4 linked regions of the Caenorhabditis elegans genome follow. The protein of the gene in region 1 interacts with the protein of each later gene in a biochemical or structural test. Each region holds a gene or a part of one and is shown in the gene's direction. Other genes may lie near its edges. The genes, in order: npr-6, flp-21, flp-3 and flp-4.

Region 1 (5,029 bases):
GACGTTTCATTAAAATTTTCGTTGTGTCATCAAGTATACTCCTTGAGCTAAAATTTATATTAATTTTCGATTTATTCTGATTTCTGTTTTCAAAAATGTTTTCCTACGCTCATTATCCAATTTCTATCCTTTGCCTTACAATTTTGAGCTGTATTTGGTTGTCTCAGTTTCACCAAAGCTTATCCGCCCTCTCAGAATTGTTTACTTTAGTTCATGTGCAACGTTTCTCCTTTTCCACCTCAAGGAGTGCTTCAGTTTTTCTCGACTTTTTTCTGGTGCCCCTCATCGCCCGGTCGAAATTCAATTTCCGCGGTATTGGAGTCGGATTTCCAGACGAAAAATAGAGAATAGACGGATGAACCCTATACATAGACAGGGCAAGGGCAAAGACGAAACTATCAAAAGGAAATGTTCTAAAAAAGGTCACCTACTATGCGAGTCCTTTTTTTTGCAACAATGAGAGCTTTATCAATCAAGATAATAACATTATCCTTGGTTCGTAGTAGCCTACATCTCATGAATGTTTCACATCCCACCATTTAGAGAGATTAAATCCATTGGCTCCTTACATTATCTTTTTTCTATTTCTTCTCCACGTCCATATTTCATTTCTGATTTTCAATTGAAACCAAATAATTTGAATCTAGCTTGTTGAACTTACGTAAGCGTCTTCTTCTTCGAATTTCGACCCTTTCTTTCTGTTTTTTATAGGAAATTCAAAATTCGCTTCATCGAAGATGAATTCATAACATAAATCAAAGGACTCTCGATTCGCTTTGTGCGTTTGCGTACCAGTTTTTAGGCAAATTTTAAATAAATGAGTATGTAGTTTGTTTAACGTAAAGGGAAAAAAGAAGGGTCTCAGCTTATTTCGAAAAAGAGAAAATTTCTCACATGTATATGGATTCTTTCCCTTTTAAAAGTTCACGACGCCTCCTCTTTTCTCACTTTGAGATTCACTTTTCGCGTCTAGAATTGCAAGTCTCACACAGAAAGTGAGAAAATAAGAAAATGAGGGAAGTGTTTGGCTCATGTTCTCTTTTTTATTTGATTGACAAGAAGAATTGAAAACAAACAATTTTTAAAAAATCATTGAAAACTTTGGGTTCTATTGAATCTGTTTAATAGTGTATTATTAATATTGTAATTTTTATTGATTTTTTTTTTCAAAAATCATGACATCAGTTTTGTATTATATGAACTATGTAGATTTCTAGTTTAGATGTGGTCGCTCTTCTAGTGTCAATTGCAAAGATGCGAATATCATTAAATTTTCATAACTGACTTAACATATTCTCAATTTTATATTCTTTTGGGAGCTTTAAATTTGAAAATACTTCTAACATCTTTTGCTCTATGAAACGTGTCAAATCTCGTTTTTTCTCCTTAAAATCAAGTTCATTTCCGACTCTTCCACCGCGCCCACGTCAGAATATTATGAACTTAAAGAGGTCTAAACGAGACACATCGCAACCAAACATATCCAGTTCACAATTCTTAAAATGTACTCGATTTATCTCCCGATTCTAATATTTTCAGCTCTTCGTTTATCCCAATTTCTGATAATATTTGATTCAGATGTCGAATGATCTCGTGCCTTCAGTGTCTTCTATACTAAATGAAACAACACCTTCATATCAAAGTACATGTAAAATCAAAAACGTAAGTTTTCGTGTCCAAAATTGTTCGTGAACGTTTGAAAAAAAATCAAAAATGTTCATTGAAACTATTTGATTATGAATTATTTTAACTGAAGCCGAGTAATTTTTATTTTAAAAAAACACGTTTCAGAACCCCATGGAAATGGAATATTTCCGCCCATTCTTTATTTCTATGTATTGTGCTGTTTTTTTGGTTGCTAGTTCCGGTAATTTTTTGGTAAGTAATATCATTTTCGATTTCTCCAGTTTTCCAACAACTGTGTTTAAGGTGGTGTACGTTGTGATGACGAACAAGCGAATGCAGACGATCACCAACATTTTTATTACAAATCTCGCAGTTTCTGATATAATGGTTAACTTTACGTGGGTTTTTTTTGAAATCGGAAGTGATATATCCGGTTCTTATATTCAGATCGTTGTGGCTTACACCAACATACACCTCAATAGGACATTGGATATTCGGAGGTGGATTGTGTCATGGTTTACCCCTGTTCCAAGGTATTGGTTTACATATAGACGGGAAGTTAAGCAGTGATCAAGCATCTAACTATACAGGTACAAGTATCTTCATCAGTACGTGGACACTTACGGCTATAGCCATAGATCGATACATAGTGATCGTGCACAACTCATCAAATATCAATATAAATGATAGAATGTCCATGAGAGTAAGTTGAGCAGGAACAATGTATCAATAAAAAACCTAACTCCAAAAAACCAAAACTCTCATTTCTTAGTCTATAGAAAGGTGTTTTTGAAGTACAGTTAACAAAGTAACCTCCATGAAAATAATAGTTTTTCCTGTTTTCGGTGTAGAACAACTTTGTAATTGGAAAAAATTCTAATTTTTAAAATTTTTTTGAAACTTTCGTACATACCAAATTCAGTCTTGCCTTTCGTTCATTGTCCTCATTTGGCTATGCTCATTGCTTCTGGTCACTCCGTATGCCATCAACATGAAGCTCAACTACATTCATGAACCATGTGATTTTCTGATATGTAGTGAGGACTGGAGCAATGCCGAATTTCGATCTATTTTTGGAATTGTGGTGATGATTCTTCAAGTGAGTTGGGGACAATGAAATTATTTGTATAAATTACCGGGGGATTATATATACATATATCTATGCCTATGCACAAATCAATTTTCAGTTCATTTTGCCATTTGTACTCATTGCCATTAGTTACATAAAAATATGGTTGTTCCTAAATAGCCGTCAAAGTATGACCGAGAGAAAATCCGATATCAAGCGCAAAAAGCGTTTACTACGGATGTTGATTGTCATGGTGGTCATCTTCGCAATTTGCTGGTTCCCATTCAACCTCTTGTTAGTTTAGAAGTGAATAATATGTCATATATTTGAAATAAATTCAGAAACTGTCTCCGAGATCTCAAGTTGGATAATTTCATGCGTGGCTACTTCAGTTTTGTTTTCCTTTCCGTGCATTTGATGAGTATGACAGCTACCGCCTGGAATCCAATCCTCTACGCATTCATGAATGAGACCTTCCGGTGGGTTTATGGGATTTGCATTTCGCCGCCGTCTGGTCGAAAACCCGTTTTAAACAATACAGACAACAATTGATAATCATTAGTGACTCAACGATTTATTGGAAAATAAATTGCAGTTAAAAGATTACGAGGGGTTGTTTTCTTCTCGTTCAGGTTGAAAATACAAGTTATAAAATTTGATACGTAAACATGTGCTAGAAAATACAATTGATAAAAAGTCAAGAAGTTTTATCTTAGACTGCATTTGTGTGTTCAGTTCTCATTTATTTTATTAAAAATTTATTTTTTATAAATACTCAATAAAATTTCCTCTCGTGACACTGTTTCTTCTTATAATTAGAAACAGATTAAACTAAAAAAAAAGACACTTTTTGGTAAATTTAGGATTATTTAAAAAATTTGCACAGTTCAAAATTCAATTAAATTCAATTAAATTAAATTCAATAAATTGAATTATTTAATTTTCATTTTCTTGCAATGCTCATTTTCAGTGAGGAGTTCGCAAAAGTTGTTCCCTGCTTGTTTGCGCGTCGTCCTGGAACTGGTCCAATTCGCGTCATCACTGGTAAAACCTGATAAATTTGAAGTTATTTTTGCTTAGCTTTTTTTTTAGAACGCACCGCTATGATAACTAACCCGTTTCGACGTGCAAACCGAAAAAAAAAAGTGGAGGAACAGCCTGTTACGGTGATTTCTGGTGAGTTTTACTTTTATGTTGTTTGATCCTTAGTTATTCTTCGTTAAGAACTTTTACACCCGACATCCAACGAAGAATAGGAAGCCATTCATTCCCTGCATGCACTCGTTGTCAGTGAACTTTTCAACAAACCAGCAATCTTTAGAAACAGATTCAGAGAGTCCACTTCAAACTGCAGTGGAGCCGCAGCGCAGTATCGTGTATCTCGATGAGCCTGAGAACGGATCAAGTTGTCAGACGCTTCTGCTTTAAGCCGCTCAATACAAAACCGGAAAGTCAGAACAAAAGTCGCTTTTAGTCATGTCACTTGCCAGTACATTTATCCGCTTTCCACTTGCCTTCATATGTAATTTTCATAAAAACACTTATTCAACATTTTATTTTTTTGGTCATATTGTTTTTCTTTCCTAAGATTTTTTCAGCTAAATCTCTGATCAAACCTGTCCTGATCTAAACTATGTGGTTATACTTAACTTATGCACTGCTGTATTTGCACAAATCTTGCTTGATGCTGATTTATCTTTTGTTTCTTCTTCTTGTCACATTTTGATAAAATATTTGTAAATGAAATTTCATATTGGTTACAAAAAATTGGTTCAACTGGTGTGGTTGATAAGATCAGATATGGTTCAAGTAAGAAGGGTATAACAGAATCATGACGAAATTTCAGAATGACATATTTAAAAACATGCTGGAACGGGAAATTGGTAGATGTGGATAAGTAAAATAAATCGAATTGGAAAATTGGTGAAATGTCTTTTCCTGGTTATGGTCATTTAAATTGAATTTGAATTGACTTGATAATAATATTATAAATATGGGAAATTAGGAATTATTTTGTTTTTTTTTTCAGAGGAAAATTGTAATAAAATCTAAAAAGTTTGGGTAAATTTTTAATATCTTTCGATAACAGCTTCACTGCGGTATTCCGAATATGTCTTCGGACGGGCGGCATAGATGGTTTCATCAACATGATCACCATTCATATAGGTTTTGTCAAAATTTTTCTCAATTGCCGGCGCATCCTGAATGAAAATTTGTTTCACATTGCATTTCAAAAATGGGAGTGAGAACGCTACCTGTGGATTGTATTGAGAGAGACATTTAGATCCAACAAGATTGAGAAGAATATCAAAAATAGGAGCTGTGATTAGAACA
Region 2 (3,028 bases), on another chromosome or scaffold:
CACAAATACATATGGTGATGTGAATACTCGTCTGTAATTGTTAGGTGGCCACTTCGTAAAATGCTGATATTTCCAAAACCAAAATATAAGAGATCTTGGAGAAAACGCGTCAAAAACCAGCATTTGACGTGTACCTCTACAAATTCTTTCACCTGCCAAATGTTAAATTTGATCTACTGACCCACTAAAACACTACTTTTTTTGTTACCAATGACAATTTTTATGCGACTTTGACATTTGGACAGGGAAAAGTTTTTCCATTCTTTAGTTTGAAACCGAGTCCAAAAATTACAAAATTTTCAAGTTTTTATGCCTCGCTAAACTCTCTAAAGAAGTTTAACTTTGAAAGTCAATGAGCCAACGAAAATTTGTTTCCTCTTCTTCGATGATGACGAAATGTGCCCCGAAGTAACTCGATAATCGTGGAAATCTCTACTTTTTTCGGCTCATAAAGCTTCTTTATTTCTTTTTTTGGTTTTCATCGAAAACTTATCGTATCAAAAACTACCAACTTTTTTGAATATTTGTAAGACTACATTTTCTCATCACTTTTACCCTCCACCTCATCGTTCATCACATTTATCTTACTCCCACTTGCTCTTCACATCACTTTTGTGGGTATATCAATTGGTTGGTGTTTTTTATGTGTTTGTGAATGTTTTGGGGAAGGCTGTGCAAAAATATCAGAAAAAAGAAGAACCTACATGCATTTTGAGGTGGTCTTCATTGTGACTGTTCCTCATTTGGTTGAGATGTCTGCGAATATTAAAAATCTTAAAGACTTTTTTGACCAAAACAATGTGGTATTAAAGGGGAAAAGAAAGAAGAACGTATGTCAACAGTTTTCCTAGTTCAGTCCTAGATTTTTTTTTCAAATCAACTGTCACATTTTTAAAAGGTTAGATGTGTTGTGGAAATCTCTACTTTTCAATTAAAGTTTAATAACTTTTGGCTGTATCAAATACGTGCATTGAAACTCAACTGTTCTCACCTTAAAGTTTTCTGATGCGTTTACAGTCGGGACCAACTACTTACACTGAAACATGTTTATCTTAATTAAGCGGAGCACACTTCCTTTTATTCAAAAAACCTCATAATGCACAAGACGCTGTTTGCTTTCTTTCAAGACCGTAATTAGACAAAGTCATCGAGCAGTAGATTTTTCAAGTCAGCTATTTTCTTTATTCCAAAAACTGCATATTTGTAATACTCATGAATTTTTCATATTTTATGGTTACTCAAAATCTACACGTCTTTATTACAATCTCTCGTTGAATTATCGCGTAAAATTACATCTTCCAAAATAGGACCATTGTTGTTTTCAAGTCATAGCATATTTTAACGCGATTTCCGGCCACCTCAACTATGCTCTGCAACGAGTATGACGTGCCCAATAAATATTGGGCTATCCTGTTTTCCCACCACATACACCCTCCTCATAGTTCCCAGAAAAAACTTTTACCGGAATCACGTATACATATAACATCATCTTACCTGAAAAAACATTTCGATGTATCATTTGCCTAGGTTCTAGGATGGGTGGTTGCTCTTGGAGCAAAGGTCATTTTTGTGAGTAGTCCAGTAGATTTGGAAGGGGATACACTGAAATATTCATTTCTTGTTTCAAAGCTACCGTAGTGATCACTTCCGTCTTACTATTTATCTCAAAACTTCTTTTTTTCCACCCCATCCCATCATGCTTCGCAAGAATCTCATTAACAAATGCAAATTTACAACGATGACTATGTACACTATTTAAGATTTGATTGTGTATTCAACGTTTGATCTCCCACCCTCTCATTGCTCCAAAATCCAAAAAGTCATTTTCAGACGATGCGGCTGTTCATCTTGCTTTCGTGTCTTCTCGCGTGGGTCCTCGCAGCGCCTTATATCGATCAGGAAGATGCGCTCCGCGTTTGTAAGTTTTGTCAAAGTTAAAGATTTAGATTAATCATTAATCTTTTTCAGTGAACGCATATTTGGAGCAATTCGGACCCGGCAGTGACAGAGTTTACTATGTTGCCGAAGACGATCATGGGTAGGTCCAGTTTAATTATTTTCTGATAGACATCTTTATTAAGTCAAGTCTTACTGTAGAATAAGTTGCAAATCGCTATAATTAATAATTTACCGAAATACGAGCATTCAGCTAGAATAAATTAGTTGCGATTCAGAAAAAAGTAAACTAATTTTAAAATTTCAGATCAATGAAACGTGGTCTCGGTCCTCGTCCTCTCCGATTTGGATAAACGGTTGCTGCTCGAACGAACGAACAACATGACACAACATTTTCTCTCTTTCCTCTCAATGTAACTTTATACAAAAATGATGTTCCAGACACTCCACAATTCCAATTCCGAAGAAATATCTATCCTCTCCTTTTCTCTTTGAAAACGCTGCAGAAACAATGTTCTTTTTACTCTCTCTCTCTTTTTCTATCTCACTTCCTCTTTTTCTGTTGAACAAATAAAAACAGCTTTCAGTTTGACATTTGACTTTTTATTAAGTTTATGAGTGCCCTTATATTTAAGAATTTTCCAATTGTGCAATTGTACCCTGCAACTGTAATGGTAGAATCCGGGAAAATCAGTCAGGATTACATTAATGAAACAGTTGGTGTCTTCCCTGCAGGGGTTGAACAAACATTATGGATACTGTTTCAAGGATCGTAGTTGCCGTAATAAATCCATTGAGGCGTCTATCTCTTGAATTTCTAACATAATGTGCCGACTATATAGTAATAAAGCTCCTGAAATTGAGTTTTGGGTGCCAATTTTGTAGTTTTGTGGAAAGTGTAATGATCGTTGAATTTTGGTTTTTGATGATTTTTAAGAACATTTTCCGAGAAATTTCGTATGGCAATTAATACATGGAAAAAATCAGTCCTAGGGATTTTATTCACAATAAAACCGAGAATTCCCTAGAATTGAAGATAAAGTAGTACTTATACATAGTTTCCTACCAAAGCCGAGCCGATTGCAAAAGTTTCGAAAAAATAAAATATCCAATTCGGTTTATGATTACCGCG
Region 3 (3,220 bases), 190 kb from region 1:
ACGATTCAATCCGCTGCCAGATTACGACTTCCAATAACTCCATCCTATCAATGATTCAATGCACGGTGAACCCCACTACTCAGCCAACATCATATTAGATATTCCAACATTTTCTTCCCATTCTCGTCCTATATTTTGATCCGTACTTTCAATGCAACAACATTTTTTAAACTATGTTTCCTATAACTTCGAATAAAGTGGTTGGGTTCCGCATGGAATAATAGCCCATCTGTTAACCAAGTCTTACGTTTTCTTCGCGAACAAAGGAAACGACTACTGGCACTGAATTTCAGATTTTAGCCAGATTAGGTCAGAAAACGAGGCACACTATTTTCAAGATCAAAATTTTAAAATTCAGTCTTGCTAGTTCTTCAAAGAATTGTTTCGGAAATGTCAATGAGTGCTCATAATTAAACATGTGGAGTGACTTTGGAAGGTGCTAGAATTTCCAAGAAGCTTTGATTTATTAGTTTTCGTTTTAATTTCAAAACACTGTTCAATCTTGAGAACAAGATTAGTTCAACCTACTTAATCATTTCTCGCGTTCTGACAAGTGACGTTTTTGACAAAAAATAATGTTTAATTATTCAAAAACAGAAAATCCCCCCTCCTTAAAGCTCAGTTCATTAATCAGCTTCGCTTCACAAATTCGACAAGGTGGCATCTCAACCAACAGGCACCAATCGGATTCTGTCATTTCTTTCTTTTTTGAGAACAAATGTCTATCTACGTTTTGAACTAACACCAGTCCCGGTTTAAATTTCGTACCTGACAATTATCAATCAAGACTTACATTTGACTAGCTGTGCACGCAAAGATTTAATAATTGGCGGTGGGCTGTGTGAGAGTTGATGTCACAAAGTTACAGTATCCCATCAAAAAAATGGGTTCGAGTCGTCATTCTCGTTATCCATCTAGGCTTGAATTATGATGTTGAACATCAAAATTTATAGGTTTTTCGAGAGATCCCACCTCTTCCGTTAACCGCCGCCCCGTTTCAACACAATTCTTTCAGTTTCAAATTATTAACCTGAACTTTGAAAACTACCACCTACGCTTCTTCTACTAATTTCGAGTGTCTTTTTAGACTCAATTATCTTATTTCTTTTCTTAGAGTATTCCAAAAATGTCACATGACGATGCATAAATTGAGGTGCCACCGTTTTTTAATAGAAACTCTGGCCGCAATAAAAGAGCAATAGCATTGTTACTTGGCAATTTGTTTGAAGGAGTGTTGGGCGGCGGTAGACGTCGTACGTCAAATCGTGCATTTTCGAAGTCTTTTCTCGACACAATAGTAATCGTTTGACCTGTGCATTGCAACATCAAGGGACCACTTACTTTTTAGAAACCCGCCCCTTTAAACCAAATTGCCAACGCCTCCAATTTTTACCTGACAATAGAATGTACCGAGTACTTATTAAACAAAGTTGTTCGCCAAAGCTCAGATTTTCAATAATTTTTGAGCACCGGATTTCAATTTTACTCGTTTCACATGAACATTTTTCTAACTGCACACAGTATTTACGCATTCCTGACCAAATTTCTAAAACCCCACACACCTCTTCCGGCATGACAACTGAACCGTTAAAATTGTTGAAATTAAGCTCATATAAAAACATGCAAATATCTCGGCGGTTCACAACCTCACTTCTACTTCTTCTTGACTAAATTTTCCGTAACTAATTGTTATATTTTAAGGTACCCCTTGTGTGTTAGCTCCCGCGTAACACCACCATAACCACCAATGATATCGCCCAATCACCTCATCCTGCTCTTCTGTGTGAATTGCGCGTTTTTGGTAGCGTCGGGTAGGAGAATAGAAATTATGTTTTTGAAATAGAATGAAAAGTATTTAGATGCCACACCAAAACGGTCTCCACTGGGAACAATGCGCTTTGGCAAACGAGCCATTGCTGATGAAATGACATTTGAGGAGGATGGATACTATCCGTCAAATGTAATGTGGAAGCGGTCTACTGTTGATTCTTCGGAGCCCGTCATTCGTGATCAGCGCACTCCATTGGGAACTATGCGTTTTGGAAAACGAAGTGCAGGTATTATACAAATAATTAATTTTCAAAAACTATACCCACCTGTTTCCAGAGCCATTCGGTACTATGCGTTTTGGAAAACGTAATCCTGAGAACGACACACCATTCGGAACAATGAGATTTGGAAAGCGTGCTAGTGAGGATGCTCTGTTTGGAACCATGCGTTTTGGAAAGAGAGAAGACGGTAATGCGCCATTTGGAACAATGAAATTTGGGAAACGTGAAGCAGGTATACAGTTCTGTACTAAAGTTTGATTTCACAATGTTATGCTTTTAGAAGAGCCACTTGGAACTATGCGCTTTGGAAAAAGATCAGCTGACGACAGTGCTCCATTTGGCACAATGCGCTTTGGCAAAAGAAACCCTCTTGGAACCATGCGCTTTGGAAAATAATTTCTATTTTCACTTTTCACGTTTATATTATTCTCGCTTCAACTAAGTTTTCATGTTCAACACCCCCGCAGCAGTGGCACTCTCTTTTAACATTATTTATCATTCTGGCTTCTAATTCATACCAAAATATACCGAAACGATTGCATAATTCTTGGGCTTTTGCAAAAAACTAAGGAAAAACGACTATTCCATAATACCCCCTTCTCTGTTCTTCTCATCAAGTGGTTTGCATAGATTGGAGAATAAATTAATGTTATTATTCACTTTGTTAAATTTTGTTGTTAGTTGTTCACGCTTGACCAAAATAGTTAGCTAGCAAACTGTAAGATTCTCAAATTTAGTCTTTGCTTTTGATGGAGAAATTCTCGAACACAATTTCATGGTTCGCTCGTCCGCTTTCATCATCCGATTGGCCAAAACTTCCGGTGTTTTCCCCTTTAGACACTTGAAAACAAATATGAATTCGAACATTTCAGATGTTTACAGAAGACCAACATGTGCCAACCAATGAATGCGTGGAAACTGCCGGCTTCTTAAAGAAGTTTACTCAGCCTACTCACAATAGAACTATCACTAAAGCACAGAGTCAAGGAAAAAAATATTATGGATGAACTGCAAATTAAAAATAAAACGCTGAATGTTCACAATAAACGCATATTTTCCCTTTTCTGCTTATTCGTTTTGTTCTTATTCTGAACAGTCATCGTTACTAGTTCACAATGTTATCTGTTGCTTCATTTTTTGTATATTAAAAATGGAGTTATAAAATGCAG
Region 4 (7,649 bases), on another chromosome or scaffold:
TTCCGCTGACTAAGCCCCTTTTAGAATTGCACAGCATTCTTTCAGATTTTCAATAATTTAATAATTTAAAATGACGATTTCGTCTTGTTTTGCACTACTTGTAGTATTTATAGTGCTTCCCAAATATCTTGAAATGTGTAATTGAAAGCCTGCGGGTTTAATAGAAAATTAAGCAGCATTTTTCTTTTTTTGTAGATGCTTTTCAATTTTTTTGGATTTTGTGGAGATGTTATGTTCTTTAATATTTATTCAAAAAAGGAGACAACTGGTAAAGTTAAATTTTTGCATCAAAACTTTTCCGAATAGATCTGTGGTCTTTTTTGGTAAATTGCCGAGTTTTGGAAAATTATAAAATTACCAAAGTTATTAGAAAAATAGTCCAATACGAACAATTTTTTTGATTTTTCATGCCCCAATCCGGAGCCCACACAAATACTTTTGAACTACATAACCATTTCCTCAATTTCCCCACGTACAAGTGGTTGCAAATTGTGCATTTCCTTCTCCTCCGAGCAGAAGATTGTTTGGATGAGTTGTCTGGATTATTTTTGGATCAGGAGCAATTTTCTGTTTATTAAAGAAAAGCGCAGAAAATAACACGAAAAAAAAGGCTTGATTTCTTGGTTCTTATTTTGTGCATGTTTTAGCGAAATTGCAAAATGTTGACCGATCTGATTTTCATAATTAGGAAAATGTTAAGACTTACTTATCTTTAGTGATTTCCCGAGACCTACGGATTCGGATTTTATTTTTGCAAAAAAGGAAAGTAAAATGAATAATTTCAATAATTCATTTAACTGTCTTTAAAAAATTTGAGCACTTGTTCCAATATTAAAAGTGTTCTATCATTTGCGGGGTTCCCAAAAAATCCTGCTATTGTTTTTTGTGGGATTTAAACTTTTTCAGCTCTTCAAATCAATAGGCTATTGGTGCATATATTGTCTTCTGACGTTTTTTTTCAGTTTCTATATAAAATTTTTGTACTTCCTTCTAATTTGACAGAATAATTCTAAAATCACATATTTGAACTGTGGGCGCTGAATTTTTTTGAAGAGCATGAATTTGAACCCGCAGCGACGGGTCTTTATTTTACAATACAGACGTTTTCCAAAGTTTCCCGGTTTTCCCCGAATATTCCAAAAGTTTCTAGAGTTTCTAGAAGGTTCTCAACCTTTCCTAAATTTTCTAAAATAAATTCGAAAGCCAACATCTACGCAAGATAATTTTTCAGTCGAACTACGGTAGTTTTCAATCAACTTTATCTAAAAATAGCCGAAAACCCCCATTACCTCCTAGTTTGGTATTCCAAAAGATCAAACTTATTGGGGTAGTTGGACCCCCATCCATCTTTTGGCACGTTTCATTCCCGAAGTTCCGTCATAAATTCGATGTCCCCCTCCACCTAATCATTGATTCGTCATGCCTTGTCAGACAAAACCCACGTCTTCAGCTTTTTGGTCGTACCACAATTTTTTCTCCAATGATTCCATCATCATTCCTCATTCCCCAGCTCGTAAAGAACTCAATAAAACTGTCCTCTTCTTCCTCAACCCATTCCTACTTATTCTACATATATTCCAACTTCCAGTGTCCATTCCATTCTCCTTTTTTGTGCTGTCTCCTTATTCTGTTTCCTTTTTTCCCCTATTCAACATCATTCCAGTCACATTCATTTGATTGCGCACTAGGCTCCGCCTGCTCACGCCTTTCTTCGCAAATTCATATTTGGATCTCAATATTTCCGCAAAAAATTGGTAGGTTTTTTTTCGCTTTGACATCAATAGATCTAGTTGACGTGAAAAGCAAACTGGCAAAAATGTTCTTTGAAATTCATGAAATTTGACAAAAAGTTTTGGTCTAACAGCAGTATCTTGAGGCCACAATGGAGCATAACCAGAAAACGTGGTGTATCTGACTGTTTTTTTTTCTGGAAAATCTTCAATTTTTTCGAGGAACTTCTTGAAGATTGTTGTTGTTTGGTTTAGTCTACGTGACCATTTGTAGCTGCCATAGTTATTTTCATTTTTCGTTTCAGAAATCGGAAATTGGTTTTGCTTGAAAACTAGCGAAAAGTGGGCGTCAAACGATTATTACTAAACACATATTGTTGATTAACTTCTAGAGTTTTTATTGGAGTATTTGACGTTAGCCATTGCAACGTCATTCATACAAGTATTTATATAAGACAATGTACATTTTTTCGTTCATAATTTTCTTGAGGTATGTCTAGTGTCTAGTGTATCAAATTTCTAGATATGTATTGTGGATCTAAATTTAGGGTATCTCCAAAGAGTTATACAAGGTTGTTTTCCAAATTAGCACCTCTAAATAATCGAACCTACATGATTTGAAATTGCTTTAAAAAAATTTTTTGTTTGAAAATTTACCAGTTTTTCAAAACATTTACTAAACATTTATTCAATACAGTAATGCATTTCAAAGCTTTTTATGACTTGAAAAAGCTATAGAGTACATAAATCTAAGCCCAAAAAAAAAACCGCAGACTTGTTTTTTATAAATTTAAAAAATCTTGAATTCAAAACACGTGTTCAATTTTGGCTTCTTACATGTATTGTTTTTAATAAATGTTCCGATGAAATCTGCAAGCCGATTTACTAGACTTACAAGAATAATTTCTGACTATTCATTGTTAATCTATAATCTTCTTATCATGTTACATATTATCTAGTTAGTCATTTTCTTGTCTTGTTCTGTTTTCAATTTCACTCATTTGCTCTCATATTTCTTTTTCCTGAATTGAACCTTGGACGCTCAAAAGCTAATCGAAGAAAAATTGCCGAGATTCGGGAATTTTGATTGATGTTGTCGAATTAGTTGTTGCTTGTTCGAAAGTGACAACATCAGACAAAAACACACACGGATTTTGAATTATTACCTATCCATGTTCCTTTGATTTTCTATTAAATTGTCCTTTAAGGTTTCAAAAATGTTCGGAAAACGTAGGTGTAACCTGAAGAGTTAGGAGGAACGTCTATTTATGGTCCATCCAAAAATAGTTGTTGTTATTCAATTTGCGGCACCGAATCTTCAGATATTCGAAAGTTAAGAAAAACAAGAAGTTAGCTTTTAGGACTGAAAGACAGCTTCCTGCAAAAATGTTCTTCTTTTTATGGAAACTTGAGAGCCAAGTTCAAAAGATGAAAAGTTAAGTGGGCGTCTTATTTGTGTGGGCAAAAGAAACTGTAAATACATTTTTAGATTTAGTATATATGCAGGACTACTTTTCTTTCTTGTTATAGTTCTTGTATAGCATCGTCGTATGCACGCACGTCTTCAGGAGTATGTTTTGTATTCATGTTTTTACAACTTTGGCAGTAGTCATGACATATTTCCAAGGAACGTAGGTTACCTTGAAGGCAGGCAGAATATTTTCAGCATAACATGGAAGATTTAAGTTGTTGTTGAATTACGTAGACAACAAAATAACATTTTGAGAGTTCTTTCTTTGCTAATTGTATTTACGTCTCCTATAAAAATTGAGCATAGAATAAGATCATTCGTTCAGATTTTCATGCTTCTTGGATCGACTTATAAGTGTACCTTTATATTACGGGCTACAGTAAAATTTCCTTCTTTTTAATTCAAAATCTTCATTCAAACATCTAGCTGCTACACAACAGGGGTGTGAATCAAGGGCTCGAAAACTGGAAATGCCTGATAAATATTTTGCAAATTTTAATATTCCGATTTGGAAGTCGCGTAGTAAAATGGTTTTCAAGGAGCTTCGAGGTCTTCAAATGTTCTTTTTTTTTAGAATTTCAAGCTTTCACGCACTTGATTTACACTCCTGCTCCCTGACTCCATGACTGTTTGATGAGCTCTTTTGAACTTTAGTGGTTTCTGGCTTCTTCAATAGTCCAGACGTAATAAAAAGTGTCCTTCTTTAGAAAATTAAAAGTTGGAATACTTTCCTTAAAACTATGGGAGAAACTTCTCTTACTCTGAGAATTAAGAAACTGTTTATCACTATTTAAAATTCCAGTTGAAGCATCGTGATCACAAAACTCAGAGCTTTACCACAAATCCAGAAAACAGAAAAGAGTTCTTGAAAATTATAAAATCTTTACGTGGGAATCTGAATACGTAGAGAGCTCTGGAAATTTACTTCCAGATAGGAATTTCTATCATTACACCGGGAAAAATATATCAAAGAACCACCATATTTTTTTATAAAACTCTTCAAAATGTAGTACGTGACTGTAGCCCAACTACTCAATTAATTCCAATTGCGTCATTTTTCCAAAAAGGCATTTCTCAAAATTTTCTCAGGATTTTCCTTTTCAATCCATCATATTTTCCAATTATTCTCAGATCAAACCACGCACCATGACAATTTTTCCACATTTTCCAATCCAATTTTTAATCAAACTGATTCTGATAACTCATATCACACCTAATAAAGTAATTCTACACCACGAGTTTGTACGCACAAATCTACAAATTGTGACCAATATCCAGTGAATTTCTTAGTATTTTTGCATGCATTTTTAAGCACCTCCAACTGTTCTTCACATTTCTTATTATTCCGTTCTTTTTCTTTTTTCTCTGCTGGGACACATTTTCAGCGCCGTGTGACGTCATATAATTCATTGAAATTTTAGAGTTTCAATGTGGTATTAGAATTAAATGTATTTTTGCTGTACAAAGAATATTCATTTTCAAAATACTTATTAGGTTTCATTATGCCACACTACCTGACTGATCATCTGTTACAGTTACCTATGTGATGAGTTTTCGTGATAGAAAATCCGGAAAAAGACACGGATGTGATTTTTGACTATGCTTAATCCTGAGAGACATCCATTATCGCAAACAATAGAACCTAAAAGAAAAATTAGAGTTTAAGATAAATGTTAAGGTTATTCAAAAAATAGACTTTTGATCTTATTTGAAATGGCATGCGGAAGAAACTATGAATGAACGAAGTTTATGACAAAGATCTGAATCCTACGCAGTACGATAATTTTCCTGAACGAAAAACAGTAGAAAGCTTTCAAATGAAGAACATCCAAGCACATACTGTTCGCGTTATTTTACTTTGAAATGATCTCTAAAGGCCCCCAAAATGCTTACCTGCGTGCCTCTTGGACATTTTGTGATAGTTTCGATGATATGTATTTTTGTGCCTATGAATAGGCTAGGTGATAGATTTCCTTGTTTTAAGACAAACACTTCCAGCAAGCTTTTGAAACTAGACTAAACTTATCACAATTCTAATTTTATTCCTAAGATCGCATTGTCAATTCACTTTCCGAAGATCATCTCGTCCATTAAAAGATTATTCTTTTTCACAGTGTAACCTAAACCTTGATTCATTAAAACATGAAAATGTAAGCAATAGATTAATATTAATCCTAATCTTAGACTAAAGTCTGATATGTGTCGTAATAATACCCCTTTGGTATTTAGTTAAGGTTTTTTGAACTGAAGGTTTAAGTATAAATACCTAAGAAATCCACTCTTACAACATTAGTTTCAGCTTTTGAATTTGGCAAAGTGGTGAGTTCAACTTTTGACTCTGTCTTATTCATTAGAAGTTTTATTCTCCATTTTGAAAATCTATCAGCTTCTGAAATCTTATCAAAATCACTGAATTCCAGCAATTATGGAGATCAATTGACAATCTACATACATGAATAGGTAGGCATTTTTTGCCTACACTCAACAAAGTTTATGACCACGTTCGAGACAGTAAATAGGTGATTTACTAATTGAAGTTAACCCGTCACTACCGTAACCCTAGAGACCAATAGATATAGACACAAACTAAAAACCAAAGGATTATATTTCATTGAAAACCAAAACGTCTGTAATAATTTCTTTAGACACATAAAAGAAGCTCGACTAAAAAATATTAGTTATTTTAGAAGCTTAAGTCTATAATTAATCCCTTCCGAGGAGGTTAATGTGAGTTTGAAGTTTTAATAAGGATCTTTTATAAATTCGTATTGTTTACAAACTTATAATTTTTGATCCATCGGATAACAGAACATGGATTCAACGCATAATATCTGAAATTGACAAGTTTGAAAAATTTGGCTGGCTCTAAAGATTTAGTTCTGGTGTTTTTTCCAGCTATCCTTTAAGCTTCAGAAATTTGTTTGGAGAACCATTGATTTTTGTTTAAATTTCATAGAACTACTTCTAACGGACCACCAGCATAATTTTGAACCCTTGACGTCAGACCACACCCACATTTCCTTCTTTTCCAACAGAAATTATGCAAAATTTGAAAGTTCAAGAGACTTCACCACTCAAATGCTCATATCGGGTGTCCAATCAGCTCGTATAATGTTCAGAATAGTTCTCATGTTTCATTACTTATTATAAAAAAGGTCTTTCGGTCTTTCACTTCTTACGTGGGGGCTCAATGTCTTCCAGGAATCGGGCGCACCGGTCTTGATGTTCTCCGAGATATTTCTTTGCATTATTGATACGTTTTTTTAAATTTTCTTTCTTCTCTCTTTGACGTGCGTTTTTGTGTCATTGGATATTTAAATAAAATATTACGATTAGCCAATAAATAGTATTTACCGTATTTTTAATTAGTCCCAGGGTGAACAGTATAAGAGAATAATTGAAAACTTTTTAATCAACTCAATGATAATTTAGAATAATCCCGATCAATTTTCAATCTCCAACCTTTTCCGAAAACTATTCCACACGCCTCATTGCAGATGTTTTTTTTTGAGAATTGAACCAAAATGTCTAGATAACAAAAATCAGCTTGCACAGGAAATATTTAGCACGTCAAAGTTTTCAAAAATTACGTCAAAATGTTGAAGATGCGTCAGTTGAGAAACATTGGTGATTGAGTTTTTGAATAAAAGGCTTGAAGTTTGTGAAAACGGATGTGCGTTTTTGTTTTTTAGGAAACCTATCACTTTTAGACACCAGTGAAATGTTATTTCCTCTATTTTTGGAGAATTATTGAAGTACAATTGTTTCATGGTATTTTCCAACTGAACGTCAATTTTTTTTTAAACAGGTAAACCAGAAATGCCAAAAAAGCAACCAAAAAAAGTGTTCGAATTTCGTTTTCAGGCGAAACAAAAATTAAAAAATTTTGAGCTGGGTGCGGCCAAACTTTGGGCAATCCCGGTTTATTCACCCTTTGTTTAAGTTAATATTGATAAATTACTTGTCCTCTAATTTTTTAATCCAACCATTATCAACGTCACACTGACTCCACCCCTTTATCAATTGTTCTCCGTTTCTTTTAAAAGCACCTGCTCAACCTTTTCGTCGCATAATTTTCCGCTTCAAGCTCCCCCTTCCCCTTCTTCATTATTTCTGCAATTTTCAGACAACTACAGCGACATGAACGCCTTCTCCTCTTCCCTTAAAACATTCATCTTCTCCTTGCTTTTTGCCACGTTGCTTGCACTCACAGCAGCTCATCCACCGTCATCTGGTGAAGAAATTGCTGAGCAAGAAGAGAAGAATATTGCAAGTCCAGATGAACTTATTGTAAGATTTTTAAAAATTGAGAAAAGTTATAAAAATAAATGAATGTTTCAGCCGGAAATTGTCGAGCAGCAAAACTTCTGGCCACCAGTGCATCTTCGTGGATTACGGTAAGTAGAAAAATTGCCTTGCGCCTAGTCTTCACATTTTTTTAAATTATA

Evidence for each region.
Region 2: of the proteins of npr-6 (region 1) and flp-21, one has a biochemical effect on the other in vitro, tested with the Caenorhabditis elegans proteins (one study listed by BioGRID).
Region 3: of the proteins of npr-6 (region 1) and flp-3, one has a biochemical effect on the other in vitro, tested with the Caenorhabditis elegans proteins (one study listed by BioGRID).
Region 4: of the proteins of npr-6 (region 1) and flp-4, one has a biochemical effect on the other in vitro, tested with the Caenorhabditis elegans proteins (one study listed by BioGRID).

What each region holds. Positions count from the first base shown.
Region 1 is NC_003284.9:10,282,245-10,287,273, reverse strand, and holds npr-6 (G-protein coupled receptors family 1 profile domain-containing protein), read left to right. Parts: upstream 1-1,539; 5' UTR 1,540-1,578; coding exon 1,579-1,662; intron 1,663-1,791; coding exon 1,792-1,878; intron 1,879-1,929; coding exon 1,930-2,024; intron 2,025-2,073; coding exon 2,074-2,159; intron 2,160-2,216; coding exon 2,217-2,329; intron 2,330-2,548; coding exon 2,549-2,725; intron 2,726-2,813; coding exon 2,814-2,989; intron 2,990-3,036; coding exon 3,037-3,174; intron 3,175-3,665; coding exon 3,666-3,739; intron 3,740-3,787; coding exon 3,788-3,871; intron 3,872-4,028; coding exon 4,029-4,123; 3' UTR 4,124-4,455; downstream 4,456-5,029. Other genes in the region: slc-9B.1 (Cation/H+ exchanger transmembrane domain-containing protein), read right to left, coding at 4,765-4,896, 4,951-5,029.
Region 2 is NC_003283.11:7,791,537-7,794,564, forward strand, and holds flp-21 (GLGPRPLRF-amide), read left to right. Parts: upstream 1-1,830; 5' UTR 1,831-1,833; coding exon 1,834-1,918; intron 1,919-1,968; coding exon 1,969-2,038; intron 2,039-2,203; coding exon 2,204-2,249; 3' UTR 2,250-2,489; downstream 2,490-3,028. UniProt on the Caenorhabditis elegans protein: FMRFamide-like neuropeptide. Involved in modulating locomotion quiescence during the sleep-like state called lethargus which occurs during molting between larval and adult stages, acting via the G-protein coupled receptor npr-1.
Region 3 is NC_003284.9:10,091,446-10,094,665, reverse strand, and holds flp-3 (TPLGTMRF-amide), read left to right. Parts: upstream 1-1,701; 5' UTR 1,702-1,747; coding exon 1,748-1,811; intron 1,812-1,859; coding exon 1,860-2,057; intron 2,058-2,106; coding exon 2,107-2,283; intron 2,284-2,331; coding exon 2,332-2,447; 3' UTR 2,448-2,720; downstream 2,721-3,220. Other genes in the region: flp-2 (SPREPIRF-amide), read left to right, coding at 1-37. UniProt on the Caenorhabditis elegans protein: FMRFamides and FMRFamide-like peptides are neuropeptides. SAEPFGTMRF-amide inhibits the activity of dissected pharyngeal myogenic muscle system.
Region 4 is NC_003280.10:10,047,298-10,054,946, forward strand, and holds the start of flp-4 (FMRF-Like Peptide), read left to right. Parts: upstream 1-1,570; 5' UTR 1,571-1,754; intron 1,755-7,327; 5' UTR 7,328-7,341; coding exon 7,342-7,491; intron 7,492-7,542; coding exon 7,543-7,598; intron 7,599-7,649.